Oryctolagus cuniculus: one gene and its partner. The protein of the gene in region 2 interacts with the protein of the main gene of each other region in a pairwise test. Links are inferred from orthologs where the notes say so. Each region holds a gene or a part of one and is shown on either strand. Other genes may lie near its edges.

Region 1 (3,708 bases), on a different chromosome or scaffold from region 2:
CTGTGTCTCTCCCTCCTTCAAAACAAAACCTTAGAAACTTTTACTGAGGCCAGGGCTGTGGTGCAGCTGCAATGCTGGCATCCCATGTGAGTCCTGCTTCCTTATGGCCACTGGGGGAGTGAACCAACGGATGGAAGATCTCTATCACTCTGCCTTTCAAGTAAAAATTTAAACATTTTATTTGGAAAGCAGAGTGACAGAGAGGGAAAGACAGAAAGATTGTCCATCCACTGGTTCACTCCCCAAATACCCACAAGTCAGGGCAGGCCAGGCTGAAGCCAGGACCCAGAATGCCTTCCAGGTTTCCCACATGGGTGGCAGGCGTCCAAGCACTCAGACTATCATCTGCTGCCCCCCAGGCATGTTAGCAGGAAGCTGGATGGGAAGCAGAGTAGCCAGGACTTGCACCGGGAACTCTGCTAAGGAATGTATCCTAAGTGAGGTTTAACTTGCTATGCCAGAATGCCTGCCCTTGAGGTGTTTTTAAGACAGAAAAAGGCATCTCTATATACTGGGACATTAATAATAATACCAATTAATGTTCCTACAGTGCTGTGCGCCCAGGTGGCTTCCTGCCTGAGGCTTCTTACGGACACAGACCATCCCAGCACCAGCGTGGGCCTACTCTTCCTGTCTGCAGCCCGCGGGCTCTCAGCAGGAGGGGCAGAGAGTGCCGTTCTTAGTCCCACTTCCACACAGCAGCTGAGCAGAGGCTCATCAGACAAATGGGCAGAACCTTTATTTCCTGACGCCCTCCCTGGACCTCTGTCACAGACAGATTAGACACACTGTAGGTAGAAGGCAATCTAGACGTTGGCAGATGACAGTCCGCACCTGTCACTTCATTAGCAGTCCCTTCCCACATGCCAGAGGGAATGGGAAGCAGGAAGAGGCCCGCCTCTGTGAACCAGAGCCTTGCTGGGGACGCTGAGCAGTCACGGGGCATTCGGGCCTGGAGAACAGCCCTTCAGCAGATCTTCAGGACCGGTTGTCTCGAGCTCTTCTTCGGGGTCGGGGGCCACAGCTGGAGCTGGGTATGGGGCCCAGACCAGGAGGTGCCCCTGGAGGCTGATAGCCACACTCATTAGGGTCCAGGGGGTCCCGGCTGAGCAGTACCCACACTGCAGGCACATGGCGGCGCACTGTGAGGGGGTCTAGGCCGGTATCAGGTGAGGTTGGGACCCAGCTGTCCTCAGTCTGCAGGAATCGCAGCTTGGTGAGCTGGTGCAGGCCTGGGACCCGCCGCTTCACAATCTCCGCACAGCTGACAGCCTTCCCTGCGGCCCGGCCAGACCCTGAGAAGACCACGTGCCTTGCGCTGCCGCCCTCTAAGCGGCCCAGCGCCAGCCCCAGCAGGTTGCGGATTTTGCTGCCATCTCGAACCCGCATCTCGAGGGTATCGGGAGGCAGTTGAGGAATCGGGGACGGTGCTGGGAGCTCCACAGAGCCGGCCTTACGGTAGTGCTCCATCTTGCATGCTGCGGTGTCTGCGGTTCGGTTCTCGCCGCCCACTGCAGGGAAGCATCAGATGAGTGCCTAGGCAGTGCGCCCCAGGCCGCCCTCCACCCCCTTCCCAGCCCGGCGCTGCTCCTCATCCCAAACTTCCCAGGACCAGGGTCAGATCCCCGCCTCCCTGGCTTCTCACCACAGGGGCGTGCCGGCCCCGCCCCGTTTAGGGATGCACCCCATCAGCACCCGCCCCCCAATCCCGGAGTCCGTGAGACAAGGCCGCAAACACTGGGCTCTTTGGGACCCGGCCCCTCTAATCCTGGGCTCTGAGGGGTCCTTCACCACTCTCTCCCTCTCAAGAACACGACGGAACGCTCCTCCCCACAAGGACAGAGCCAAGGCCCCCTCACTCCATGTTCCCACAGGGCAGGGCCACGCCGCTTCGCCCCAGGCTCCTCCGGGCACGGCCGAGAACCTCAAGTGCTCCCCCTCCCCCAACGACGGGATCCGTAAGACAAGGCTGAGCATTCCTCCCCCGGGATTCCCAGGGTCGCTCGGTATCAACCAAGTCACTTAGAAACTCAGAGAGAGCACGACGCAGAAGGCTGCTTAGGCGACTCCCAGCCGGCCTCGGCCGTCTCCATCGCCACCGGCGGCTTCCATGGTCCCGCGAGCCGCTGCGGCGTCCCGTCTCCCCCACCATCCAGAGCCCCGCTCCCGCCAGGTGCCGGCTCTCACCGCCCCTACGGCCGCCGCCGCCGCGTCTCGCTGGATCGGGAGCCAAGATGGCGAGCGAGCCGGGAGCGCGCCGAGGCCGCGGGGCCGCGCACGCCGGGCGGGGGCGGGGCCTGAGGAGGGGCGTGCCCCGCGGGGTTTTTCGGGGCCGCCGTTGGTGGCTCTGCGGGGGCCGCTAAATGGGCTACAAAACGTCCTGGGGTGAGCTGGTCCAGGAGCTCGGGCGCCTGGGGACACGCCCCCACCCCTCAGCTGTTACGCCCGAGTCAAGGGCACTCCTAGTGGCGGGGAGAGAGCTCAGTGGGTGAGAGAAGCGGCCACAGCGCTGGGAGGCTGGCGTCACCAGTTGAGTATCCCGCAAAGGGGAAGCAGAAGGTTCAGCTAGGAGTGGCTTTAGAAATACCGCGTGCTGCTGTGCGGGTCAGAGCCTTGGTCACCCAGTTAGGAGCTGTAATCTCATCCTGTGGGCACCGGCGAACCACGAAGGGTTTTCAACAGGGGCCGGTCCAGCCGATTTTGTCCACACCTCGCTCAGGCCTCACTTCGCAGGGGAGGGAGTGGTGGGAGAAATCGAGCCGCAGACGCCGGCGAGCTCTGCTCTCGGTGCCTAGTGCAGTGCCCCGCGTTTAACAGGCGCTCGAGTATTCGTTACATTCTTTGTTGGATTAATGAACCAGAGAAAAGGGCAGTAGGGATAGAGAAAGGATTAAATTGGGAGCTACTATTAGATAGGTTCCGTGAAGACTGGATGAGAAGTAGGATGACTCCCAGGTTTCAGGCCAGTTTGAACTCGCTGACAGGGCACACACGTGCGGTGACAGAGGCGGGTGAAAGGGATCTGGAGCCAGAGCACTCCGTGAGACCACGAGGGGGCAGCAAACACTTGGTGGCGCGCCGTGCCAATCAGTTTCTCCTGCCCTCTCCCCAGAACCGAAAACTTCCCGCATCCAAACCTCTTGGGCTCCCTTTATCAGCTAATGACACGAGGTAGGCTCCCAAGAAAAATGTCAAGGCTTCTCTCTGCCTTTCCGCCCACTGCCCCCTTGGCTCTGAAATCCCTGCACGTCACCCAGCAGGGCCGCCTCCACTTCACTCCGTTTCTCTTCTGTGCCTACCAGGTGAGACTTCCCTTTACCTTGACACCCACCCCCTCCTGCCCGCACAGCCCGTCAGGGATTAGGTGGGCCCTACCTGTGTGCCCCCCCCTTCGCTGTGGCATCTGACATTTAGAACGTGCTGAGTGAACATGGGATAAATGGACGCTAAACAGATGTCTCATTCGCATCAGTCAAGTGCGGGCCTTCATCTGGGGAGCTCTACTCCTTCCACAAAGCCAGACCAGGATATGTACAGTCCCCAGGCCACCCACTCTGCAGGCCGCCAGCTCTGCCCTCTGCCACCCCCATCCTCACCACCAAGCCCGTCCTGGCCTGGGAAGCACACACTCCTCCTCCGACCTTTATTGTTACACTGTACAGAAAACTGATGGTGGGAAGGTAAATCACAAATCTCAGGTAACCTGAC
Region 2 (3,804 bases):
CGGGCTTCATTCCAGCCCAATTCCCAGCGGGTCTTGAGCTCACCCCATGCCCCCAGCCCCAGTTCCCTGGGGTCATCCCAGGGAGCCCTCTCTCGCTGCCCCTCCCCCTCACCGTGGGCGTGCTGCAGGATGCGGCTGATGAGCACCGGGTACTTGGTGATGCGCTGAGTCACCAGTAGGATGCACTCCTGCACCCCATGCCGCTTTAGCACCGCAGAGCGGGTCACTTTCTGCAAGGAAGAGGCGGGGTTCAGGGCCATGGGGGCCAACCAGAGGAGTCCGCCGTGCCTGGGCACCCACAGGGCCCTGCCCTGTCACAGAGGGCTGCCTCAATGCCGAAGCCGACGGCGCCTGCGAGTGGACGGGCACACACGGGCTCGGACCCCGACTGCCCCCCCACACCTGGAGGGCTTCGCTCACCCGGATGAACTGCTGGAAGCGTTTGTCCCGGGCATACAGCTCCTTATAGAGCTTCAAGGCCTTGGTGTGGCGGCTGCAGAACTCCGAGTAGGTCTTCCGCATCTGCTCCGCGCTGGGGCCGGAGAACTGGACATCGGGGACAGACTGTGTCAGCACCCCCCACTCCCCCATGTCACACCCTCTCCCTTGGACCCACCTCCGGCCTCCTGCCACACGGGCCAGCTTCCCGCCTCGCCAGCTCGCCCCCGGACACCACGACCCCTTTCCCCAGCCCGTCCAGTTTGTCCACCCTGGCTACCCGTCCTTCCAGGAACTCGTCCCACCTGGTTGATGAGCAGGTCACCCAGGCGGTGGATGACGAAGTTGCGGGTGCTTCCAGGGCACAGGGCCTGGCGGCGGCGCTCCAGCAGCTGGCTGAGGAAGCGCGTGTGGATGTCGCTCAGCTCGTCCACGCAGGGGAACAGGCCCTGGACCACTCCGGGCTCCAGCTGCAGCTCTTCCAGCATCCCCGTGCGGAAGAGGCGGGTCATGATCTTCAGCGTCCTCACGTGGTGCAGCTCTGTCTGGATTAGCTCTGTGGGCACAACGGGACATCTGGCCTCCTCCGCCTGGCATGGCCACTGTGGGTGGGGTGCTGCAGGCTAATAGGGACCTCAGGGCACCCACAGGTCTTCAAGGCCCAGACCAGCTTAACATTCTGCATTACTAGGATCTTAGGTCATTCTCTAATAATCTTTTATCTGTAGTTATGCTTTGGCATTGCAAGCTGTAAGTTGTTTCAGAGCAAGGACCACGTTGTCTTCCACACGTCCGGCTTTCCCTAGCTCCGGGATAAGCACAGAACAAAGACTGCGGGCTGGCACTGTGGTGTTAACAGGTAATGGGTTAGGCTCCCATCTGCGATGCCGGCATCCCATATGGATGCCAGTTTAAGTCCCAGATGCTCCACTTCTGAACCAGGTCCCTGCTAATGTGCCTGGGAAAGCAGCAGAGGATGGCCCAAGTGCTTGGGCCCCAGCACCCACACTGAGAAAGCCAGAGGAAGCTGCTGGCTCCTGGCTTTGACCTGGCCCAGCCCTGGCCATCGTGGCCATTTGGGGAGTGAACCAGCAGGCAGAAGATTTCCCCCTTGCTATCTCTCCTCTTTGTAACTCTGCCTTTCAAATAAATAAAATAAATATTAAAAGACTGAGGAAGGAATTGGAGAAAGGACAAAGACAGGGCCTCGGAGACCGACAGCAACAGTGGTTGCACTGGGCTGCCAGGCAGCAGCACGGCGACCCGCAGGGAAAGAGGGGAAGGGCCTCGACAGGTGGTGGTGGGCAGAGAGGATGTGACGGGCAGGACCTGGTGAAGGCAGGGATGCGAGGGCGGACTTGGCTCACCATAGATGACATCCTGCTGCTTCATCACCTCCTTTTTGTGCTGCTGCAGGAAGCTGCCGTCCACGGCCAGGCTCCAGGAATCAGCTGCGAAGTCCTTCTCGTCCATCTCAAAGTCACTCATCAGCTCATTGTAGATCACCTCTGCACCTGGGCACGAGCCGGGGCAGCAACTCAGAGCCGAGTCCTCCTCCCGGGACCCCCTGCCAGGCTGCTTCCCAGCTGCCGCTCCTCGCCAACCCACCCACCTTCGTCAATGAGGGATTCCACCGACAGCGTCCGGTTCCGCACGTTGAGGGAGTCCGTGGACTGCGAGAGGATGCGGCGCAGCCCCAGGGGAGACTCATCGTTGAAATGGCTGAAGGAATTGGGGCTGTTGGCATCCCCCAGCACAGCCAGGATCCCAGAGGCAGCCTCCCCCCACCCCATGTCAAAGGACCGTTCCGCGCCCCCCACCTCAGGCTCCACTGCCGCGCTCTTGGCCCGCCTGGCTGCCCCGTTCCCAAGCAGGGGCTCACCCAGCAATATTGGTGGTGGACACGCTCTTGGCTAAGGACAGGGAGGTGCGGCCGCGGCGGGAGCCAAGGAGGGACTGCCGGAAGCTGTCCGAGGGGTAGATGGCAGAGCTGGGCCGCTCTCGGATGGTGGCTGGGGGTGCAGAGACCAAGAGGGCAAATGTTAACACTGGTGCCTTCGCAGGACACAGGCCTCCCAGCTTCCTCGGCTCTTGTCCAGGGGACGTGGTGGCAGCGGTGAGGACAAAGCCACCTTACTTCAATGCTCCCCAAGAACCTTGTCTTGTCTCTTTCTGGGAGCAAGCCCATGAGCAAAGTGAAGCTCAACAAGGGGCGGGGATTCGGCCAGTGGATGAGCAGGGTCTGGGGCTCGGCTCTTTTTGCCCTAGCACCTGGCTCCCCTGGAACAATGCTGTCTGAATCGAGCCATGACAGGTCGCCAATGCTGAGCACATCAGCAACAGCACAGGGGTGCGGCCGGGCTCAGGGGACTGGCCATCCCAAGCCTCAACCCCATTTGGGTCCTCCTGTCCAGGCTCTGAGCCAGAGGGTCTGGACTATCCCGTGTCCCTGCTCCCAGCTCCCCAAGGAGGAGAGCGGTGTTGTGCCTGTGAGTGACCTCAGGGGGGCAGCAGAGCCCACGGGCCGAGCAGCCTGGGGTCCGGGGTCTTCCTGGGGCCACTACTCACTCTTACTGCGGAGAGACACAGACTGCAAGGCAGTGTTGTTCTTCAGCAGGGCAGCTTTCTGTTGCTGCAAGACAGAGACACCAAGAACAGCCATCACCCACGGGTCGCCCCCACAGGCACGGGGAGGCACTGGCGCTGTGGCCCAGGGCTGCGGGGCTGCATTTGCAGCAGGTGCAGCAGGAGGCCTGGGGCTGAGGGTCTGGGCTGCCCATGGTGAGGACAGGGCTTGAGGCACACAGGGTAGGGATGAATGGAAGAGGGTACCGCACGCTCACTACCCTCTCCCCCAGCCCGCTGCCCTCCCCACCCTCTCACCTTCTGCTTGACCTTGGTACAGTTGGCGAGGGTGTCTTTACAGCGGTTGTGGATAGTCACATTGCAGGCTGGGAGGGTGGGTAGAGAGGGTGAAGGGAGGGTCGGGTGGTACAGGAGGGGACTCACCCCCACCCCAGCCCCTCTCCTCCCACCTCCCTCTTCCTGCCAGCAGGAAATGAAGTGAGAAGGGGTATGGATGTTTAGGGAAATTAAGCCAGCAGGAGGGGTGGTGTGAGGGGGGTCTAGAGAGAAGAGGTGCAAAGGTGGCTGGGACTGGTGGAGGGAAGAAAGGCCCCCCAAGGAACAGAAGACAGGGCAGCTGGGCCAGGGGCCAGGAGACCAGAGTGGGAAACACACATTCTCCCAGTACTGAGTGTTCCACCTGTGCCTAATCCTTTGGGAGAAATTCAATTATGCTCCTCTTCCAGTCACCTGCCAGCAGCAGCACTGGATTCGAACCAGACTCCCAAGGCCACACTCCTG

Evidence for each region.
Region 1: the proteins of ARHGEF2 (region 2) and RPP25L interact in binary tests that used the Homo sapiens proteins (3 or more experiments, as listed by UniProt). The two-hybrid records come from large-scale screens. The link is inferred for Oryctolagus cuniculus from reciprocal best matches to the Homo sapiens genes ARHGEF2 and RPP25L.

Annotation. Positions count from the first base shown.
Region 1 is NC_091432.1:197,632,826-197,636,533, forward strand, and holds RPP25L (ribonuclease P protein subunit p25-like protein), read right to left. Parts: upstream 2,341-3,708; 5' UTR 2,188-2,340; intron 1,512-2,187; 5' UTR 1,471-1,511; coding exon 979-1,470; 3' UTR 715-978; downstream 1-714. UniProt on the Homo sapiens protein: May be a component of ribonuclease P or MRP.
Region 2 is NC_091438.1:42,726,240-42,730,043, reverse strand, and holds part of ARHGEF2 (rho guanine nucleotide exchange factor 2), read right to left. Parts: intron 3,390-3,804; coding exon 3,322-3,389; intron 3,071-3,321; coding exon 3,007-3,070; intron 2,451-3,006; coding exon 2,321-2,450; intron 2,161-2,320; coding exon 2,051-2,160; intron 1,953-2,050; coding exon 1,806-1,952; intron 995-1,805; coding exon 744-994; intron 547-743; coding exon 421-546; intron 231-420; coding exon 113-230; intron 1-112. UniProt on the Homo sapiens protein: Activates Rho-GTPases by promoting the exchange of GDP for GTP.